5 linked regions of the Mus musculus genome follow. The protein of the gene in region 1 interacts with the protein of each later gene in a pairwise test. Links are inferred from orthologs where the notes say so. Each region holds a gene or a part of one and is shown on either strand. Other genes may lie near its edges.

Region 1 (4,758 bases):
CGACTAGGCCATCTTTTGATACATATGCAGCTAGAGTCAAGAGCTCCGGGGTACTGGTTAGTTCATAATGTTGTTCCACCTATAGGGTTGCAGATCCCTTTAGCTCCTTGGATACTTTCTCTAGCTCCTCCATTGGGAGCCCTGTGATCCATCCAATAGCTGACTGTGAGCATCCACTTATGTGTTTGTTAGGCCCCGGCCTAGTCTCACAAGAGACAGCTATATCAGGTTACTTTCAGCAAATGCTTGCTAGTGTATGCAATGGCAACTCTTCTTCATTAAGCACTTTGTATGTGGTCAAAACTGGGGTCCACCTCCTCACCATTGCCTACTTTAAACTTCCATAGAGAAGTGGCCTGTGAACTTCACTAAAGTGTCATCAGGTCAACCTAGAACTGAGCAAAGTACTCACTATCACTATCACTTAAGACAACCTGTGGGTTACAACCCCTCTGGCAAACCTTGTCTCCAAAAATATTTACATTATGACTCATAAAGTAGCAAAAATTACCATTATAAAGTAGCAACAAAAATATTTTGTGATTGGGAATCACCACAACAGCATTAGGAAGGTTGAGAAGCACTGATTTAAGAGATCAGGCATCCTACACACTTTTTCTACGCGTACCCCTTCTTCTAGATCTCTCCAATAAAGGGCAGCCTACCTAGATCCACATGACTTTGTGTAGAATATAATGGTCATGGTCACTCTTCAAGGCAACCTTTCTCTGATCCAGATCCTTAGTAAGCCTCCATCAATTCCCATGGTTTGCCTCTAGGCCAGCAGTTCAGAACCTCTGGGGTCGCTATCCCTTTGGATCTCACATATCAGATATCCTGCATAACAAATATTTATATTTTAATTTATAGCAATATTGAAATTACATTTATGAAGTACAACACAATAATTTTATGGGTGGGGAGTCACCACAACATGAGGAACTGTATTAAAGGATTGCAGCATTAAGGAGGTTGAGAAATAGTGCTCTAGGCTTTGTACACTTGTCTAGGTCTCTAAGGTCACACCAAGCTTAGAGACTATTCTACTCAGCCAGAGAAGACCTCTCCCCCCAGAATTCCTCAGGGCCCAAGGTAGAACAGTGAGTATGGCAGGTACAAGGTGTACAGATCTACATGCATCACAGGGCAGGCAGGCAGGCAGGCAGGCAGGCGCCCTCTGATTGTGTGCATTGGCATACCCTGGACCTTTGGAAAGCTGCTTGATCCTGTAGTGCTGGTGGCCACTTGGCCCAGTGCTGGCCCCATTTCCTCGCGAATGGAACTAGGCATTAGAGAAGACGACGGTGGGAATGGGCCTGTGCAGGTGTGCAGGCCAGGGTCATGGAGACTGGGAAGACCAAAGGAGATGGGTAGGGAGTGCCAGGGCTCTGTGGGTGTCTATGTTAGGTGATGAGAGCCCTGTCTGACAGCATACAAAGAGCTCTCAGCAGCGTTAGGCGCTCTGGAAGGGTTCGCTCTCAGGATTGCTTTACACTGCTGTGGATCACACTGTGGCTGAGAATCCTAGGCACTGGAACACCGGGGGAATAAAATCAGGAATGAAGCCAGTAACAAAAGTATGTGAGATCTCACAGGTTGGGAAATCTCACAAGCCGGTTTTGGTCAAATCACTTGCCTCATCCCTAGTAAGTTGCGCTCTAAAGCATCCTCTAGTGAGGTCAGCCAGCTCCGCCCCTCGGCGGCCTAGCTCTCAAAGGAAGTCTCAACCGCTGCCGCACGAGTTCTGAAAGCTCCGCCTTCTCCCTGTTCGAGCCAATCTCTCACAAGCGTTACGTTTCTGTTTGCCAGCCCAGCCTGTTCCCTCAGCTAGACCGGTCTGCACCGGCCGTTCTGGCTAGTTTGGGCCTGCCCTGAGGAGCGCGCGCAACCTGCGTAGCCGCGGCTGTGACGCAAATGTGACGGCGGCGTGACGCGCCCACAGCCGCTCTTGAGGCTCTGGCGCTTCTTCTTCTAGGCTCCGAGCGGTTGGTTTCTTGGGCCCTGTCTGTAGGCCCCGGCCGCCCCTGGCGTTCAACACCGCTTCCAGGTGCCGGCCTTGTCTGCCATGGACGACTATGCGGTTTTGTCCGATACTGAGCTGGCCGCAGTGCTACGCCAGTACAACATCCCTCATGGGCCTATTGTGGGTATGCTGCACCCGGTGGCGCTCAGAACCTCTCTTGGTCCACTGCTTTCCCGCGCTCCTCCCTGAGCGTTCTCCCCACCTCTCCCTCCCCTCAAGTCCCCTCCCCGTGTTCCCTTGTGCTCTTGGGGTGCTCGGCTCACGCCCTCTGACCGCTTCGCACCCTGTGTCTGGGCAGGTTCCACTCGCAAGCTCTACGAAAAGAAAATCTTCGAGTACGAGACCCAGAGAAGGAGACTCTTACCCCCCAACTCGTCATCTTCTTCATTCTCCTATCAGTTCTCAGGTGAGCCCTTAACTGCAGAGCCCCAAAGAGCAGCTTGGGGCACACGTCTTAGGGAGGGAGGGTGTGGCCGAAGCTATTGAGGGAGTAGGGGGAAGGCTGGAGATCGAATGGTCCTGTCCCTCCTCCTTCACATGCAGACTTGGATTCAGCCGCCGTGGACTCAGACATGTATGATCTGCCCAAAAAAGAAGACGCCTTACTTTACCAGAGCAAGGGTAAGGCAGGTATAGGGTGGGCACTGATGTTTTTATCCCATGCTTCCGGGATTTGGGCACAGGGAAACCCCAGACCTCCCTCACCTCCTTGTACCAGTTCTCAGTGGCTTCAGAGGGGAGAAACTGACACAGCACACACAGGCTGGGGAGGGAGAAGAGGAGGCCAGTTAAGGGGCACCACTTTTTCCTCTACCACTGTTTTCCTCCCCAAGACTATAATGATGACTACTATGAGGAGAGTTATTTGACCACCAAGACATACGGGGAGCCTGAGTCTGTGGGCATGTCCAAGAGCTTCCGCCAGCCGGGGACCTCACTTGTAGATGCTGATACCTTCCATCACCAGGTGAGTTGGCTGGTAGGTATACCTGGGGTGCAGCCTTAGGGAATTCTAGGTTTGGATAGGTGCAGAGAGTGGATCTTAGGCTTTCAAATCTGGTTAGGGTCAGCATACAGCTGTCGGGTTAAAAATTCTATGTTGGAACCTTCAAAACTATTGGATTTGGGGATGCTCAGCAGAAGAGTATTTACCTATGGTTTCATCTCCAGCAGCACATAACAAATGTTTTGGGGTTTTGGCTTTTTTAAAAGATTTAATTACTTTAATTATACATATGTGTGGCCAATTTTTGTTAGTTTGTGGGTATTTCCCCCCCCCCACTTCACCCCCAGTAATGAAAAATTCCCAGAATTCCAAATATCACACAATTGTAGAAACTATCTGAAACTCACAGAAACACACCTTTGCTAAAAGCATGAGGCAACTCATAGTTAGCTGCTGTGAAGCAGCCCCATATTCCACACCTAAGATTAAAACAAAAACATATTCTTACAATATTTCTGTGTTTCTTAAAAAAGCCAAAATTCCAGAATTCTCACATACATGTCTGTGGGTAGTATGCATGAGTGCTGGCACCTACAGAGGTGAGAATTGTCATATTCCCACTAGAGCTAGAGCTACAGGTAGTTGTAAACTGCCTGATGTGTGTGCTGGAAATTGACCTCAGGTACCTAGGAAGAATAATATGTGCTCTTAACCAGTGAACCACCTCTTCAGCCCACAAACTTTTTTGATCAGAGAATATGTAACAGCTCCTGCACTCTAGTAATTAATCTACGATATAGATTTAAGCCTCCTGAGAATCCAGGGGAATAAAAGGATGCTGGAACAAAGTCAACAGGGTTAGTAACTGAGCAGCAAGGCCCCACAGATAAAGAGGCTCCACATACTCAGAATGGGGGAGGGGGGGGCAATTTTCTGGTCCCTATGATATGATTAGAGCAGGCTAGCCAGAGACATTTAAGGAAAACCATTCTTCCCCATTTCTAATCCTAATTATTCTGCAGGTGCGTGATGACATTTTCTCTTCTTTAGAAGAGGAAGGCAAGGATAGGTGAGTAGTGAACATATGTAGGGACAGGGACAAATTCGAGTCTCAGACTCTCCTGCCTACCTGTTGCCTTCTTTTGCCACAGGGAGCGCCTCATCTATGGCCAAGACAGTGCCTACCAGAGCATCGCACACTACCGCCCCATTTCCAATGTCTCCAGGAGCTCTCTGGGCTTATCATATTATCCTACATCCTCCACCTCTTCTGTGTCCTCCTCTTCATCTTCTCCCTCTTCATGGCTTACCCGACGTGCCATTCGGCCAGAGAAGCAGGCCCCTGCTGCTGCTCTGGGCCAGGATCGACAGGTCCCACTCTGGGGCCAGCTGTTACTCTTCCTGGTCTTTGCTGCCTTTCTGCTCTTTGTTTACTATTCCATACAAGCTGAAGAAGGCAACCCCTTCTGGATGGATCCCTAAGGGTATTGGTTTTAGAGCAGCTCTTACCAGGAGTTTTGGCTGATTGCCTTATCGGTGTTTGCTGGGGGTGGGGAGGGTAGGGGCTTTTTTGTGTGTTCTAGTTGGGTGCAAGGTCTAGCCTAAGGCAATGCTTGTCTCCCACCTCATCCTGCCAAGGAAGCAGCAAATGTTGGCCTTCTACAGCCCAGTAGGCCTACCTGTACCTTCCTCTGGAGCCTCCTAGCCCTATTGCCTCTGACCCTTAGGGTACCGGGGTCTGGTGGGAGGACCTCACTTCATTAGAGGAAAACTTGGTGGTGGCAGTGGT
Region 2 (4,046 bases), on another chromosome or scaffold:
CTGAAGGACACAGGACAGAGGCTGAACATGTGAGAGAGGTTGGGGAAAAATGAGAACAATGGTCCAGAAAGAGCAGGGTGGTGGTCATGCACGCCTTTAACCACAGCACATAGAGGCAGAGGCAGGTGAATCTCTAAATTCAAGGCCAGCCTGGTCTACGGGGTGAGTTCCAGGACAGCCAGGATGCCAGGACTACACGGAGAAACCCTGTCTTGAAAATCCCCCCCCCCAAAAAAAAAAAAAAAAAGGAGAGAGAGAAAGGGGGGGGGGGACGGAACAGTGTCTTCCTTCAGGACCTCAGGAAGGGACTATGCACCATTGGCCTTTCTGGGCCACAGCACAGAGTCCTCCTCTGTAACACGGGACGGTGGAGAGCAGTAGGCCAGCTGAAGTCTTCTACCTCCCCAAACTAACCTGCCCTACTGCCCTCCCATGGGAGCCAGAAGAGTCCAGGTCAAACTGGGGTACAGCATCCTGGAAGTGTCAGGGTGAGAGAAGAGACTCTGTGCTGGAAGGTGCCTGTGACCGCTTGTGCTGCCCGTCTGCCTCAGACTCCTCGTGTAGGGATAGGAGCTGCTGCGGTGCTGACGCTCCATGAGTGCCTGTAGTTACAGACCACGCAGAGGCCCACCCACATGCATCCATTTCTTCCCCAAAAGGGAGGGGGGCTTTCTCAGAGGATACTGCTGACACTCAGAGGGGGTGGGGGGCAGGACAGGGGTCTCTAGTGCCAGCTCAGACTCTAACCCTGCAGCCATGTGCAATGGGCACTCATCTCAGCAGGCCAGGCTGTCAGAGGTATGAAAGCCACCTCCAGCTTGGAGAAGCTCTGTTTATTGAGTGCCTGCTGTATTCATGTGATGTGAATATAGCTAGCTGCAGGCCAACAGACCCTGGAAAACAGGAACATAGGCAGGCACACAGTGGGTCTGAGCCAGGTGAGAGCTGCCCTACCAATACACACAGGCCACACACACATATGAACACACACATGTAAACACATAAACACTCCACATTTGCATAGACACATGTGCACATACATTGACACACATGCATACACATATTGCACATACACACCCAAACATCACACACTCACTCCGACACTCACACCCACACACACATGCCTGCACTCACATCTTTACATATGCAGAAGGAACAACCCTCTCACCCTCCTGAGGGGGGTTTTACTGACACAGAAACAGACCTCCCAAAGAAGAGGCTTGCCACAGACATGCTGCAGAGCTGCTGAGTCAGGGGAGTCTGGCAGGAAACTCAGCTCCTAACCAGTCCCCTGCCACCCCCTGCTTCCACAGCCCCATCCCTCCTCTTTATCTTGGTGTTGGCCCTGAGTCCTCCAGCTCTGATGACGCCATGCTGAGGATGTGGAGAGGAGAGACTTGGTCCCTGGGGCAACTGGGAGAAGGGCTGCAGCGGGTGGGATCGATGGAGGCTGCCCACGCCTTATTGGATTGTTCCTGGCTCCTCGGCCACCTTCATCCTGCCTCCCCCTTGCTTTCCTCAAGCCTGGTCCCCCCTGCCCATAGCCCGGGAGACTGGAGGAGGGCAGGGCTGAGGGTCATCTCAGAGCTCATTAATGGCTTCCAGAGTCCATTGGCTAACCAAGCCTTAGGCAGACAGTAGGGGCATCTCCTAGCCTAAGAGATGGGACTGCTTGAGAGCAGTGACTCAAAATCCTCCCTGTTGCCACCTCCCTGGAAGCCTCCCGCTGTCCTTTACCAGTCCCCACCACAGAGCTTTCAATGAAAGTCCCCCAGACTCAGCAGAGCCCAGGCATTAGGATCATGCTCCTGGTGTCTCCGCATTGAGAGGGGACCCCCTTTTCTCTACAGTGTACCTCTGGGAACAGCCCGAGGAAGCGAGTTCAAGGCCACTGCTCAGCCTAGAGGAACAGATCCTTAACTCCACATTTGAAGCCTGTGACCCTCACAAGACAGGTGGGGGCTGGGGATCCACAGGAAGGGCTGGACCCGGGCTGCCCTGCTTAGGGGTCCTTCAGGAGTAGGGTAAGGGCATGGATCAGGGGATGAGTAGCGGGGCTTGGGCCCCAGGTACATAGTTAGCCTCTGGCCTGGTTACAGCAGTGGCTGCTGCCCTGGCTCATGCTCTTTGGTCCACTCTGAGATGGACTGGAAAACTTAACTCAGGAGAGGGACTTGCCCCAGGTGGCTCTGCATGCTGTAGGGCAGGCGTGTCATCAACCTGCTGATGACAGACACTGTTCTTAAACCGTGGCCTGTCCCACTGGCCATTGCCCAGTCCAGGTCTCCCTACCATGCTCTGTCCCAGGCACTGTGACTGTGGCCCACCTCCTGGCCTACCTGGAGGCTGTGACAGGACAGGGACCTCAGGATGTGCGCCTCCAAACACTGGCCCGGAGCTTGGACCCTTATGGAGAGGGTGCTGGAGCCACTGTGGAACTGGACACCTTTCTGGTGGTCATGCGGGACTGGATTGCTGCCTGTCAGCTGCAGGGGTGAGTCCCTACACCAGCAGCCTCCTACCTAGGAAGACTTTCCTCACGTCTGCTCTGCAGTCAATACTAGTTAGGCCCAGGAACCCCGTGTGGTTGGCTTGGGACTAAGGAGAGGCATCTAAAAGGACACGGAGGGGTGAAGGGGTCTGAGAACCAGCTGCCTTGGGTGATGGTGCAGGGGTCCAAGTAGAAGGAGCAGGGCGACCATAGGAAGGGCTGCCCTTCACAGCCCAGGCCCTGCCATCTGGCTTCACCCTTACCCATAGAGCCTCTCTCCCTACAGCCCTCCTCTCCTCCATCACCCCACACCTCTGTAGGCACAGGTCATGGCTGTGGTGACCACAGGGGACCTGAGCCTCTTGCCTTTGATACAGGGGATTAGAGCGGGCAGAGGAGACCGCCTACGAGGGAGCCCTGGCTTCTCCACACCTGCCATCTGGTGAGACTATTTATAGAAGGCGCTGGGTGGCAGGGGTCAGCGGGGGTTAGCAGGGACTTCTCATCTACTCGCTCCACACAGCAAGGGCTAAAGAGATCTGGGGCCTTTGCTCAGCCTGCAGCTGTGGTGGCTTTCTGGTGCCTTTGGGACAGTCCCACTCTGGACTTCAGGCTCAGGTTTTCCAACCCTTCCTCCCATCTCCAGCCCTAATGTAGAGCCTGAGGGGACTGCAGCCTCCACGGTATCTAGCTGAGGCCTGGGGCACCCACACTATGAAATCTTCACTTGGCACAGGGCAGTCTTGGCTCCCCATCCTGCCCCACCACACACACCTCGTACACCTGCTTCCCTTCCCTTGAGAGCAGACATCTGTCCCAGCTGTATCCCAGCCCTATACTGGGGTGCTGAGTGCAGGAACTCACACCTCAGAGGTGTATGGCTAAAACGTGGCTTTACAGAACCCAGACTGTAGCTCTCTTGGCATTCTTTTTTTGTTTGTTGGTTGGTTTGGTTTCAGAGGGTTGTTTGTTTGTTTGTATTTGTTTTGTTATTGTTTCTTTGAGACAGGGTCTCTCTCTATAACTCTGGCTTTCCTGGAACTTACTATGTAAACTAGGGCTAGCCTTGAACTCACAGAGATCACCCTGCCTCTGCCTCACTACTGCTGGGATTAAAGACTTGCAAGACTTGAATCTTGAGGCTTCTGTTTTGGGGGGCAGGGAGGGCTGTGAGCAGCAGAGGGGTAGGTCACGTAGACAAGTCGGAGGGTGAGGCTGGAGAGTGCCCAGGGAGAGACTAAGGGAGTGGTAGAGCAGAGAGTCCAACAGATGGCAGGCTGCTAGTGCGGAGGCCTGAGGAGGGAAGCTGGGGCCAGGAGAGGAGTGGCTTGGGAAGTGGAGGTATCTATCTAGCCCTCCTGACTGGCTCAGAGACCTGGCTGAGCTCCAGGCCAGTGTGCGCAAGCAGCCTATAGAATAAGAGTAATTCAGCCCAGGGAACCCCAGAGCTACACATTAAGAAACTGGGAGGCCAGAATCCTGGGACAGTCCCAGGGTCCTTGGACACCCCAACATTTAATTTACCAGAAACTCCAACCTCCTGTCTCTTTCCAGT
Region 3 (3,294 bases), on another chromosome or scaffold:
AACAATGTCTGTTAGAAGTGGGGTTCTTTTTACGTTTGTTCATCTCATATTTCACACCAAAGCTAGAGATCATGAACGTGAAGCATCTATTTGCAGACTGGTCAGGGAGTTCAATGGTAGGGCATATATCTACCGCGAGTGAGTTTTTGGGTTTCTCACTAAGTACTGAAAAGTTAGATAAGTATAAACTAAAAGTGTTGGGCTAATGCCCATGCATTACCTATAGCTCCTGTAATATGTTTCCATTTCATTTACCTAACATTGCTCAGTATATATATGCCTATTCTTACAAATTTTATGCCATAATAAAAACCAGAAATTATGAATCTTATTTCATAACTCATATCCATTTAGATTTACACAGAAGCAAACAATTTGGAATCTTTTTAAGCATCTATTTTTTTCAAATCTACTAAAATTAACTAGACATGGTTGATCCAGTCTATGATTCTGGCACCTGGATGACTGAGACAAGAGATTGCTGAGAGGTCAGTGCCAAGCTGAGTCACCTAATGACATCTAGACCAGCCTTGATCCCAAATAAAAGAATAAATCTACCAAACCCAATGAAGTCACAGTGGCGAGACAATAATTATTTCAAGGATCATTTATTTATCTTTTTTTTTTTACAAAATACAAGAACTTGTTCTGCATGAATATAGAGCATATGAAAAATAATGCACTTTCAGAGTCTAATTGTCAGACATTCAGTTTCTCAACTATTCTCTTGAAGAATTAGCTTTGTTTGGCACTTGGTTTTATATCATAAACAAGGAGGAAGAAAGCTTTTCCCTGTTAATTGAATCAGACCCATAAACATTAACAACTTAAAGATGTAAAATCAGACATTTGCCGCACAAGACTCGTTCTGCAAGGTAACTGATTTGCCTATGATCCTAATGTCTTTCAAGATATAAGAGAAGAAGGCTGGAGGGGAGCTAGGTATGTTCTCTAATGTATCTGCAGCAGTTGATAGTCAATGCAACAGAAGATTTGCTTTGTCTGTGGTACAAGGATATGTCCTATCAGACTCTACTGCATTTTATCTACTTGAACACAAGTAAGCACATACTGATTTTCTCTGTCTGACACAAATGTATAAAAATACAAGAAGCTGGCTGTGTTTGTCAATGGAAAAGCCTATTTTTAATCAGCTAATATGAATGCATTTGCTAAAATTAGTGAAGACAGGAAAAATGACTTAGGGGTAATATATACAGAGTTTCAGTACATTTTATATCCACTTGGTGATTTCAGGCACTGTGGCTGTTCAAGATAAACTATTTCATGGATTAACTTGATAGCAGTTTAATTTTCAGTGCAAGCAAAAGCAAATACCTGCCTAGTGTCACACACATGACCTGGCACAACTGGAATGTTCAAAGCATTTTTTATTTTTAACATCTTCACTCTGGAGACATCTTGAGTAAAAACGTCTTATCAAGTTTGCTCTTGGTAGCAAATTTAATTTTCAGTGCAAGCCAAAGCAAACATCCATCTCCCTCTCTGTCATATATAGGAACAAGTGTATTTGGAATACGTTCGCTTTCTCCAATTTCACTGTGGAAGCATCTTCAATAAAAGGCACTTAGTGTAAACCGTCTATCCATCATGAGACACAGACTCGAGATGCCTGCATTTAATTATACTAAGCCACACTGCCACAGACATCTGCCATGTAAACGATGTTCGGTAAGGTTTGCCATCACAATGGTGCTTTCCTGAGAATGGAGCTGGTCTTTGTAGGTATCATAAGTGTGCGTGCTCAGAGCTGTGGTCACTATCGCGGCTGTCCTCGTTTGCTAGTGAGTCCCCTGTCTGCTGGAGGGTGGCTGCACCGATTCCTGACAGCTCTGACGGAAGAAGCGTTCCCTTTTTCACATTCACCAGTTCCTTTTCTCGGGCAGCAGCTCCTTGCTGTCCCCCTTTGACCCGCTTCCACTTCATTCTCCTGTTCTGGAACCACACTTTCACCTTCAAAGAGAGGGAATAAGTAAGTCAGCAAAGGCAATAGGACCTAGTTGCTCAAGTGCCTGCGCACATACACCATGATGCAGCAATTAGAAAAAACAGGCAGGATTGCAGTGAGTTAGATTGCATGTGCGTAGTAATGGAAAAGGCTTAGTACATTCAAAGAATTATCGTAAATTCCAACACATAACACAAAGTTACAAATAGGCGAGGAAGTTTGCTCGGAAGCATTGGAGTGGAGTTTCTCATCGATCAAATAAAATATTATGTTTACCTCTATCAAAGTTTACACATTCTCTGAAATTCATCTTTGACTTGACAGTAGAATTTTTACAGGTTTATCTGCTGGTAAATCCACCTCTGAAAGCGCACTATTTACTACGAAAGTCCCTTAACTTGGAAAGGCATGAATTATCTCTCAGCACATCCTTTCAGATCGGCGGGGGGCATGGGGGGCATAATTCACCTCAGTAAAGGACCAGATGCTCCTGATTTATATGGAATGGTGTCCCAATAAAACTATCGTGAAGAAGAGTCTCCAGCCCACCACGGCTAAACTGGGGACTGTCTGCAGGACCTAGCACAGTTGGTTTCCTGATACTCTACAGGAAGTCTGTCTTTACTGGTCTTCTTTCTGCTCTTGCCTTTATTAACGTTTACTTCAGAAATATCATTGAACTGTTGCCAAAGAATGCAGCCACAGTAAAAATTCCTCAGTATTTACCTTGCATCCCCCGCCCCTGCCCGGGTGAATACCCAGAAACTTCCTCAAAGGACTCAAGAGAATGTGACAATCCACCTCAGTAAAAAAAAATTCATGAATTCATATTGATTAACTTATTTCACAAGATCTAGATTTGTCAGCACTTTTTTTTTAATACTAGGACTACTTACTATGTCCTTATTTTGAGATTTTTAAAAAACCTCAGCTAACATAAAAGCATCGCCATGTTTATGATCACTTGGCTTCTTTTGTTTGGTATTTTTCCTTCCTGGTTTGCATTCAATTCTTTACACTATTTCTTTTTAAATTTTATACATTTTTTGCAAGCTACTCTCACCCACTTTCTAAAATAGTCTACTCATATCCCACAGCCATCATTCCCCTGGGTTATAATTCATGCTGTTAAGCCTTCAACAAACTCCTATACCTGTGACAAAAATTTTTTTTCATATCTGATAGAAAAATGCCTAACTCTTCTGTATCACAGACATTTGAACATTTATCAGTCTCAATTTATACCAACACACAGTGCTCCAGAGAAACGGTGAGAAGAGTGTTCTCCTTCCAGAGATGTTTGAATATTACACTGTTTCAATGAA
Region 4 (4,590 bases), on another chromosome or scaffold:
TGGCTTGTAGAACTGTGGACAGCCCTGCCCACTTTATCTCCCAGTCTAAAAAGGAAAGATGATGTCATCTTTACTATCTCTTGCTAAGTGACACTTCTTGAGACCTAGAAGGATAGCCACAACCCCTCAGGAAGTGACCAGGTTTGTGACTGGCACTCTCTGTTTCACTCCTAGCTCTCAGCAGCCATCTTGTGGCTCTGGACTGCCATGACCTAGGGAAACCTGCTCTAATTCCTTCATCAGCACTCCCAACTTTCCTCTTTGTCATCTACTGTGTATCTAGTGCTGGGCTCTGACTCTCAGCTGCTGATCAAGTCAGTCTGTTAGTTGAGGACCTTAAAAATGCTTGATGGTTCATTTCAGAGAATCTGGTTCAGGGACTCAGAGGGGGAGATTCTATTCTCTTAGGATCACCTCCCTGCCAGACTCAGTCTGGTCCCCAAATCTTCCATCTATCAAGCATGTGGGGTGCCTTCAACAGGAATCCTAAAAATCATAAGAAACAAGACAAGAGAAACCTATATAGTGGGAAGTCCTCAAGGAACAGTTTTCAGGACAGGTCACCCTTGATGCCCCTCTAGGTGGCCTTGCCTGGCATCCATATAGTGCCCCAAACCCTCATCTTCACCCATCAGCTATGGATTTGGCTAGACTTATTTTGGGCTCTGGTAGCCTGGTGGAACCAGGGCTGGACTCAGATGAACTACACCCCGCCATCAGAGATTGTACCCTGCCTCCTATACCCTCTGGGGTCAGACTGTGGTGATGGAGGAAGGTCCTCGTCACAGCCGCTGCCTCTTCTCTATGACCTGATTATCCCACTGCCCAGGAATTCAGTTCCTCCATGGTTTTGCAAACACTGACCCCTCATGTTTATAGGCTGCACAGACTCTGCAGGAAGAGAGGTCCCTGTGTTTCTTTGTTGGGACTTTGATGCCTATCCTAGCACAAGACCGAGTCCTGTGCAGGCTTCCTATTCTCCCTCTGGTCACAGTACTCATTCACATGGCTGTTGCTGGGCAATCTCACTCTCTGGAGGGCTCTTGTGTGACTAAGTCCTGTATACTTTTAATTATCTGACTCTAGAGGACTGGAGGGACACTCTCTGCCTTGGGCAGAGCTTTCCCCAAGGACTGAGGTGTTGTTTGCCTTTCTCTCAGGCTTCTTCCCACTCTCCCTCTGTGGGGCTCCCTAGATCTGCCACATGTCACCCTGTTTATTGAATTATGTAGAAAATGAGCCAAAAAGCCTACTTGTGTTTTGTCATAAATGAATATATAGAGGAGACTTGGAATTACATACATGTGCATCTTCAAGCCACAGCACCCGATTATTCTGTCTTCACTGAAGGAGGGGAACCCTTGCTTTGGGGCCAGACTGTGACTCACTTCTAGGTTGTCAATACCCACCAAACAGGTATGTGTGTGTGTGTGGGGGGGGGGGGGTTGCTAAGCCTCAGTGTTCTTATTTATAAGATGGGGCTAAAACTTCCCTTGAAGGGGCATGAACCTTAAAAGACAACACCCAACACCCACACCATATACCTACCACATGGCATATGATAAGCGACAGCCTTTTAAAAATAATAGATATAAAAATATTGTAGTTATCATGGCTGGCGCTGAATACTGAAAACTTGGTGCTGTGAATCAAATGCCCCAGGGAACGCCAGACTGTAGGACAGAGAATGATCAATTTTGCCCTCTGACTCCCCTACTCCCACTCTCAGTTCTGAACAGGGCTTGTAGCTCCATCTTGGAATAATTTTACTGTGGTTCCTGTAGTCTCTGAGTTTGGGTTACAAGGACAAAACACTTCTGTGTGGTCTGGATGTAATCATCAACTCAATTAGGTCAGACAGGAAGTCAAAGAACAGGTAGGTGAAGAAAGGAGATGCCATTATAAGTGTGAGGGCTTAGGCTCCCCACTGTGGGACTTACCAGAGGGAGCTCCCAGGTTCCCTACCTTCCAGACGGGAAGAAGAAAGGTCTGAGGGGTTGAGAACAGGTCTGTGAGGATGTCTCTTCCTGTTCTCCATCTATTGTCTGTAGGGCCACTGAAATATGGCTATTTTACTCTCTGCATCATTAGGTCTTAATGCTTAGGAAGTTGCAATAGGAATGGCTCCCTAGAGAGAGGAGTGTCTCCAAACCCATAGCCTTCTACACCTCCTGGGGTGTGGCGTGACACCTGTATGGAACCACACAGCCTTCTAGGATGGTGGGATCATCCTGGCTTGCTTTAACGCAAGTAGGCTATGGAAAGTCTGATGGACAGGGACAGGCTATAGAAAAAAAGGAACTGGTCCTGTAGTTCAGAAAAAGGTCACAAGGCCACTGCCCAGGATTTCTGTAGTTTCTGAGGTACCCCTGGCCAACATGAAAGGGCCTAGTTAGAGCTCGGAGGAAGGGCTAGTACTGGCTAGGGAAGGCTCTCCTTCCTGCACAGGAAGACAGCAGCACACTGCCCCTCAACTACAGACATGTTGACTTGCCACAGTTTTGCACCTACCTCCTGGCTGTGTATGCAGAGGAGATGATGGGTGGCTTCCTACACGAATCTGGCCTTCTTAGTTCAGAGTTCTCAGCGGGAGCTGAAGAGCCTGTTACAGGGATCCCTACATTGAAGGGATTGGGAAAAGTCATTTAATTTGTGTTATGGATGCAGAGCACACCAACACCAAGCCATGCAACTCACACCTAACCGAAGCCATCAGACGGAGCAGAGCTGGGAGCCATACCCTGTGGTTGCCTGAGGTCTCTAGCACAGGATGTTTTTTTGTCATACAAGCCCCATCGAGTACATTCTACCACCTGCTGCTACGCAGGAGGCTGGCATGGCAGAGCGTATTCTGCCCCACCCTAAGTCAGCAGATCCAAACCAAGATCCCAAAGCATCTTCCTCCACAGTTACCTCAAGTCCCAGGTTCTGTCTCAAGTGTCTCAGGAGAGCCTTCAGCCCTTTCTTTCTAGGTCTCTCTGGTCTCAGAAGGCTGGGGAAGCTGTCAAGCCGAGTTTCTGAAGAAGTTTCTAAACCCCCTCACCATTTTCTTCTTATACTGACGTTATTTTCGCACAGCAGCATGCTGAAACAGGAAACACAAGCCACAGTGTTCACAAACCTCAGTTCCTCTCCTTGCCCTTAGCAATTTGAGAGGGCCCCTGCACTCTTGGGGCCTCCAGGGCTGGTGAGGAAGTCCACCCAGGCACCCACTCTCCAACTACCTGATTGGTCTGCTCTCTGGCAGTTTCAGCCCAGTATTCACTTCCTCTGGTTGGTGCTGTAGCTCGGTAGGTAGAGTGCTTACTTGCCTAGCAAGCACAAAGCCCTAGACTCCACCCCCAGCATTAAAAGCCAGACCTGAAACCCCGGCATTCAGGAAGTAGAGGCAGGAGGACCAGGAGGTCAAGATCATCCATATTGAGTTCAAGGCTAGCCTGAGCTACATGAAACCCTGTTTAAAAAAAAATGTTTTTCTAGGACTACACAGGGATGAATTCTGGGCCATATCTATACCTTGCCACTTCTGTGGTAAGACCCAGGAGGGATGTTTCTCATACCATCTAGCTGTTTGGAGTCTCTTTTTCCCAATACTGGCATTGGGTAGAGTCTCCTGTGGTCTGAAGGATCTGTGTGTTTTGTGGAGTTCCAGATCCTTGAGGGCATCCTGGATTCATGTCTTTATGAGGCAGTGTGGAGGGGTGAAATATGGAGGGCTAGAGGGCAGAAGGCAGGTAGCCAAAAGAATCTGAAAAATCCCAGTGAATTGAACTAAGAAATTTTGGGAAAAATTAAAGAGAACTGATACATTAAAAAGAAACTTACAAATGGGAAATCCCAGAGCAACTCAGGATAGATAAACAGGAAACTGAGTTTGTACAAGTTCAAGGACTGCTCTGCAACCTTCTGAACAAGCCACTCAGTATGGAGACTATACAGTTCGAAATGTGTGAGGCAGGTGTGAGACAGGTGTGAGGCAGGTGTGAGACAGGTATGAAGCAGGTGTGAGGCAGATAATGATATATTCAAGTAGCTAGGATAAGTTTTGTTAACATGGAGAACTTATCACAGTCCTCTTCATGACTGCTATTTCCTCATTCTCTTAAGAGAAAAAGTCAAGAAGTAGGCAGGAAGGAAGCACGCAGGCCAGATTCTTATACTAGAACCCAGACCAAGGAGGCTCCTAGGGTGAGAAATACCCGAGAACACAGGGAGACAGGAGATTGTATCAGAATTGCCATAGATCCTTTTGGACTTTATTAAAAACTATATAGAAATGTATACAGAGATCAAATTCTTATCTATGGCTGGGTACTCTTTGGGTGCTATACTCATGCTACTGGGACTAATGTTAATGCAAGTTCAAAGTCACATAGCATGGGTTCATGAGTACATGGGTACATGAGTGCATGAGTGCATGGGTGCATGAATACATGAGTGCATTACCAGCCCAAGTAATTTATTCTAGAATAAAGCTCCAGGTACTTTTATTAGTCTACTAGTGGTATCTATCTATCTATCTATCTATCTATCTATCTATCTATCTATATGCTGTGGTTTGGATCCCCCAAAGTTCCACATCTCAGAGCC
Region 5 (4,620 bases), on another chromosome or scaffold:
TTTTACGAAATCGAGACTGGATCATGGGAAGGCGTAACGATGAAAAGATACCTGGCACGACTATTTCGCATGTTCACTCATTGACGACTCAATGATTCTTCACGATCCTCTCTATGCTCATATATATACATAATTTTAATATATAAATTAAAATTTAAAAGGGTCTCTTGTAGCCCAGGTTGGTCTGGAACTTCCTTTCTTCTCCATCTCCCAAGAGCTGAGGATTACAGGATTGCCCCGACTTCCAGTTTACTTGGCATTTATTTGGCATTTAATGTGTACAAATATTTCATTAACAATAATTTCAAGCACGTGCAAAGTACAGAAAGCCACTTAGCCACCACACTCTTGTGTCTTCTTTACATGTGCCCCTCCCCCAGTTCTCAATGTTTTGAAGTAACTATAAGACGCTCTCAAGTGTCATCATTGTTGGTGAAGTAGTCAGTTAAAAGTTAAAAGTAGGGGTCTTTTCTCTCCATATTCACTTTTCATAAAAGGAGCAGAGGTAACCAACAGCAAGTTCTCTTCAATGCAAGTCCCCAAAGTCAGGTTTAGTTATTAGGTCCTCAGAAGCACCTCAGCTTTACAAATAACGCCCAGAGTCTGTGGACACAGTTGCCCTGTCTTCTATATGTCATCGTGATGATGAAGGATAAAATATTATGTAGGGCCTTGACGAGGGACAACTTGAGTCCTCAGGATCATCCTGCTCTCCGTCCGTCCGTTAAGCAGGAGGGGAGGTTAGTACATCATTTCTAGCAGAGGCATCATCGCTCGAGCGTCATCAGCTGCTGTGGCCCGCCTCTGCGTTGGCCCTGGCGTGTAGGTCCCAAAAGCGAGGCGGCCTGCTGATGTGCGGACCGCGCCCCCTGGCGGCTGGTCCGAGGCTGAGACCTGCAACCCGGACCTTTCGCTCATCAACTTGCACAGATTCGAACACAATAGTACTCAGCTTTTTACTCAAACAGTTACAGATTTAAGTATTCACAAGGTGAAATGTAAAATTACTAAAGGCGCGTTTAAAATTTTAAAACCGCAACTCCAATTAAAATCCCAAAAGAATGCGTGCAAATTTATAAGCTGCTTCAAAAACTTTAATTTTAAAATGTTAAAACTTCATATAATTCAAATAATAAAATAAAAATTCAAATAATATGTTGAAACTTCAAATAATTAAAACTTCAAGGCTCAGACTGAAGTTTACAAGTTGAACTTCATAAAACTTTTTAAAATGTGTGTTAACCTTTCAACCACATTCGCACCACAGACCTGGAAGAAAATGCTGTTTTGGTCTCTACAACACACTCTTTCAACACTCTGTTCTGTAAAAATCCCACGAGAGGCACCAGGGTACGCTCTTGATGCATGGAGGCAAAAATCATTCATGCACATTTGTAAAAAAAATAAAAATATTCCGTGAGAGCTTGCCTCAGATGAGGGCTGCGCGCGACGGAAGTATTTTACCGGGACCCAGGTCCTGCGGCTCCCAACCCTTCTCCTCAGTCCAGTCTGTTGGCCTCGCCCCTCCCGCCCCGCCCAGTCTGTCTCTGCCCCGCCCCTCCGCACCCAGGATTTACGTCATTTCTTGGCCCCGACCGCAGATTGGCTCGCAGGATGTGCGTCATCAGATGGCGACAGATTCACGGCTGTCGTGCTCCCCAGATCTTGCCATGGTGAAAGCGGGAGAGTTGGTGGAGCAGCAAAAGGCTGCGATGGAGGAAGAGGCGAATGCAGAGGCGGCGGAGGATCAGGAGGAGCCCGAGGACACGGCCTGCAGCAGCAGCAGCAAGAAGAAGAAGAAGGTAGTTCCGGGGATTGTGTACCTGGGCCACGTCCCGCCGCGATTCCGGCCCCTTCACGTACGCAACCTGCTCAGCGCCTACGGCGAGGTGGGACGCGTTTTCTTCCAGGCCGAGGGTAAGCCCTGCGTCGAAAGGAGAGGTGACGATGCGGGCAGCCGGGCGCGACTCATTTTCTTGGCTGTACACGAATGAGGCGTGGGGTGCTGGCTCTTGGAAGGCTGTGGCCCCTTCCTAGCTGCTAAGTGTGTAGTACTCACGTCCTTTAGGTGGCAGGCAGGGGCGGGGAAGGGAAATGGAGAGGGTGAGTGGATAGAGAGAGTGGTTTAATAAGGCCTGAAAGAGACCCACGATCTTCTCTTCTTTCTATTTCTTAAAATTTTATTTACTTACTACTTTTTGTAGCTGTCTTCAGACACACCAGAAGAGGGCATCAGATCCCATTACAGATGGTTGTGAGCCACCATGTGGTTGTTGGGAATTGAACTCAGGACCTCTGAAAGAGCAGTCAGTACTCTTAACCACTGAGCCATCTCTCCAGCCCTCTCAATTTTCAAATAGTCCCTGAAACTGTATGATTAGCCTCCTTCAGCCTCTTCACCTTTGTTTGTTTGTTTGTTTGTTTGTTTTTCGAGACAGGGTTTCTTTGTAGCTCTGGCTGTCCTGGAACTCACTCTGTAGACCAGGCTGGCCTCGAACTCAGAGATCCGCCTGCTGCTGCCTCCCAAGTGCTGGGATTAAAGGCGTGCACTACCATGCCTGGCTCTCTTCCACCTCTTGACATGCACAACTTGGAAATGGAGGTGGGGACTGGTGTTGTTCTTGGTGCTGTTCTAATGTTCAAGAAGTTGTCATTTGAAGGGAGGCATGAATTAAGGAAAGGAGGAGCTGCCCCTTACAGACAGCCGTGTTTCATCAATCCCTGTAAAGTAGCGCCTAAACCAGCAGGTGTGGCTTACGGCTAAACTGAGGTGTGTCTCAGTGGGTGCTTGATGGGATGTTCATTGTGTTTGGCCTACAGACCACTTTGTGAAACGCAAGAAGAAGGCAGCCGCGGCCGCAGGAGGAAAGAAGGGAGCTAAGTACAGCAAGGACTATACCGAAGGCTGGGTGGAGTTCCGAGACAAGCGTGTAGCCAAGCGAGTGGCAGCCAGTCTACATAACACGCCCATGGGCGCCCGCAAGCGCAGCCCCTTCCGTTATGACCTGTGGAACCTCAAGGTGAGGTTCTCAGTTTGTCTGCCACATCTTCATTCCCCCCTCCAGCTCTAGTCCAGGCACCCCATCCTTCCTGCTAGCTCTGAGCAGCTCCCAGTTTCTTCTCCCGACCTTCCCTACCGTGACCTTTTCTTCTTTTCCTTCTCACAGTATTTGCATCGTTTTACTTGGTCCCACCTCAGTGAACACCTTGCCTTTGAGCGCCAAGTACGAAGGCAACGCCTGAGAGCAGAGGTCGCCCAAGCAAAGAGAGAGACTGACTTCTATCTTCGAAACGTAGAACAGGGACAACACTTCCTTGCAGCTGATGGGGATGCTACTCGGCCAAATAGCTCCTGGACATTCACCCAGCGTCCCACTGAGCAGGAGTTTAGGGCCCGGAAAGCTGCACGGCCAGGAGGGCGGGAAAGAGCACGGCTGGCTAATGTCGAGGACCAGGCCCGATCCAACAGAGGGCTCCTTGCCAAGATCTTTGGAGCCCCTCTACCTGCAGAGAGCAAGGAAAAACCGTAGTCAATAAGGGACTCCTGGTGATGGAAGAAATACCTACCAGCCCTGCGCCATTCTGATCTGCTTCCTGAAGAGTGTGACCATCTAGGCAGATGTTTTCTCTATTCCACACACCAAGAGTCTGGTAAAGGCCTTTTGTTGGTGTCTTTTACCTACTTTGAACAAATCCTGTAAGTGCCAGCCTGAGAACCTTACTCGTCCTATCCAGGGTGAAGACCACTGGAGGTGCCTGTTGTGTTTTGTTTGATTTCTGATTGCCTGCCTCTTTCTCAGTGGACAGCTAACAGTTTCTGACTGAAAGAGTGGACTTGCCCTCCACTAGGGTAGTGGTCTGTGGTGTTTGTTCACTGTGGTGGAAGGCTGAATTAGCAGGAATTGGATTAGAGGTCCAATTTGAGGCTTATATTTGAAAATAAAAAATAATTTATTTTTATATGCTTTTTAGTTTTTCATTAAGTAAGTTTCAACTTCTTTTGAAGCCATACATGCCGCTCAGTTACTTTAGCACAGGCATGATTCTCCTCCACCCATGAATCTCAGTTACTCTATCAGATATGATCCCAATGCTCCTGTGTTAGTCAGGGTTCTGTAGAGTCACAGAACTTATGGGTAGTCTCTGTATAGTAATGGAATTTGTTGATGGTTTACCGACTGTAGTCTTAACTCCCAACAGTGGTCAGGAGCACCTGTGAATGGAAGTGCAAGGGTCTAGCAGTTGCTCAGTCCCACAAGACAAGCAGGTGAAGGAGGGTCTTCCTTCTTCCAATGTCATTATGTAGGTCTCCTTAGAAGATGTGGCCCAGGTTAAAGGTGTGTGCCGCCATTCCTGGATCTGGGACTTGCTTTGTCCCACATGACCTTGAACTCAGAGATCTCCTTTCTACGGAGGAAGTAGTCCAATGTAGTAAACCTGACACCAGGTTTCTGGCTGATCACCTCAAAGAATCTGGGGCTCAGTGTTAGTTTCTGCTATTGGCAGATCTGGCATTCAGCGGCAGCCGTAGCCAGGTCAGCCTTGGTGAGTGGAAGTCCCTGTTGTTGAGCCCGAGCATAACCTCCATCTCCGTCACCATAGCCACTTTGTTCATGTGCC

Evidence for each region.
Region 2: the proteins of Emd (region 1) and Kash5 interact in binary tests that used the Homo sapiens proteins (3 or more experiments, as listed by UniProt). The two-hybrid records come from large-scale screens. The link is inferred for Mus musculus from reciprocal best matches to the Homo sapiens genes EMD and KASH5.
Region 3: the proteins of Emd (region 1) and Meox2 interact in binary tests that used the Homo sapiens proteins (3 or more experiments, as listed by UniProt). The two-hybrid records come from large-scale screens. The link is inferred for Mus musculus from reciprocal best matches to the Homo sapiens genes EMD and MEOX2.
Region 4: the proteins of Emd (region 1) and Traf3ip3 interact in binary tests that used the Homo sapiens proteins (3 or more experiments, as listed by UniProt). The two-hybrid records come from large-scale screens. The link is inferred for Mus musculus from reciprocal best matches to the Homo sapiens genes EMD and TRAF3IP3.
Region 5: the proteins of Emd (region 1) and Abt1 interact in binary tests that used the Homo sapiens proteins (3 or more experiments, as listed by UniProt). The two-hybrid records come from large-scale screens. The link is inferred for Mus musculus from reciprocal best matches to the Homo sapiens genes EMD and ABT1.

The regions. Positions count from the first base shown.
Region 1 is NC_000086.7:74,252,887-74,257,644, forward strand, and holds the start of Emd (emerin), read left to right. Parts: upstream 1-1,800; 5' UTR 1,801-2,065; coding exon 2,066-2,147; intron 2,148-2,321; coding exon 2,322-2,429; intron 2,430-2,566; coding exon 2,567-2,644; intron 2,645-2,856; coding exon 2,857-2,990; intron 2,991-3,991; coding exon 3,992-4,038; intron 4,039-4,120; coding exon 4,121-4,451; 3' UTR 4,452-4,758. UniProt on the Homo sapiens protein: Stabilizes and promotes the formation of a nuclear actin cortical network. Stimulates actin polymerization in vitro by binding and stabilizing the pointed end of growing filaments. Inhibits beta-catenin activity by preventing its accumulation in the nucleus.
Region 2 is NC_000073.6:45,194,416-45,198,461, reverse strand, and holds part of Kash5 (protein KASH5), read left to right. Parts: intron 1-1,850; coding exon 1,851-1,955; intron 1,956-2,307; coding exon 2,308-2,494; intron 2,495-2,868; coding exon 2,869-2,933; intron 2,934-4,045; coding exon 4,046-4,046. UniProt on the Homo sapiens protein: As a component of the LINC (LInker of Nucleoskeleton and Cytoskeleton) complex, involved in the connection between the nuclear lamina and the cytoskeleton.
Region 3 is NC_000078.6:37,176,833-37,180,126, reverse strand, and holds the end of Meox2 (homeobox protein MOX-2), read right to left. Parts: intron 1,975-3,294; coding exon 1,750-1,974; 3' UTR 593-1,749; downstream 1-592. UniProt on the Homo sapiens protein: Mesodermal transcription factor that plays a key role in somitogenesis and somitogenesis and limb muscle differentiation. Required during limb development for normal appendicular muscle formation and for the normal regulation of myogenic genes.
Region 4 is NC_000067.6:193,198,382-193,202,971, forward strand, and holds the start of Traf3ip3 (TRAF3-interacting JNK-activating modulator), read right to left. Parts: upstream 3,166-4,590; 5' UTR 2,914-3,165; intron 2,618-2,913; 5' UTR 2,512-2,617; intron 1-2,511. UniProt on the Homo sapiens protein: Adapter protein that plays essential roles in both innate and adaptive immunity. Plays a crucial role in the regulation of thymocyte development.
Region 5 is NC_000079.6:23,420,883-23,425,502, reverse strand, and holds the start of Abt1 (activator of basal transcription 1), read left to right. Parts: upstream 1-1,636; 5' UTR 1,637-1,670; coding exon 1,671-1,917; intron 1,918-2,820; coding exon 2,821-3,020; intron 3,021-3,167; coding exon 3,168-3,530; 3' UTR 3,531-4,620.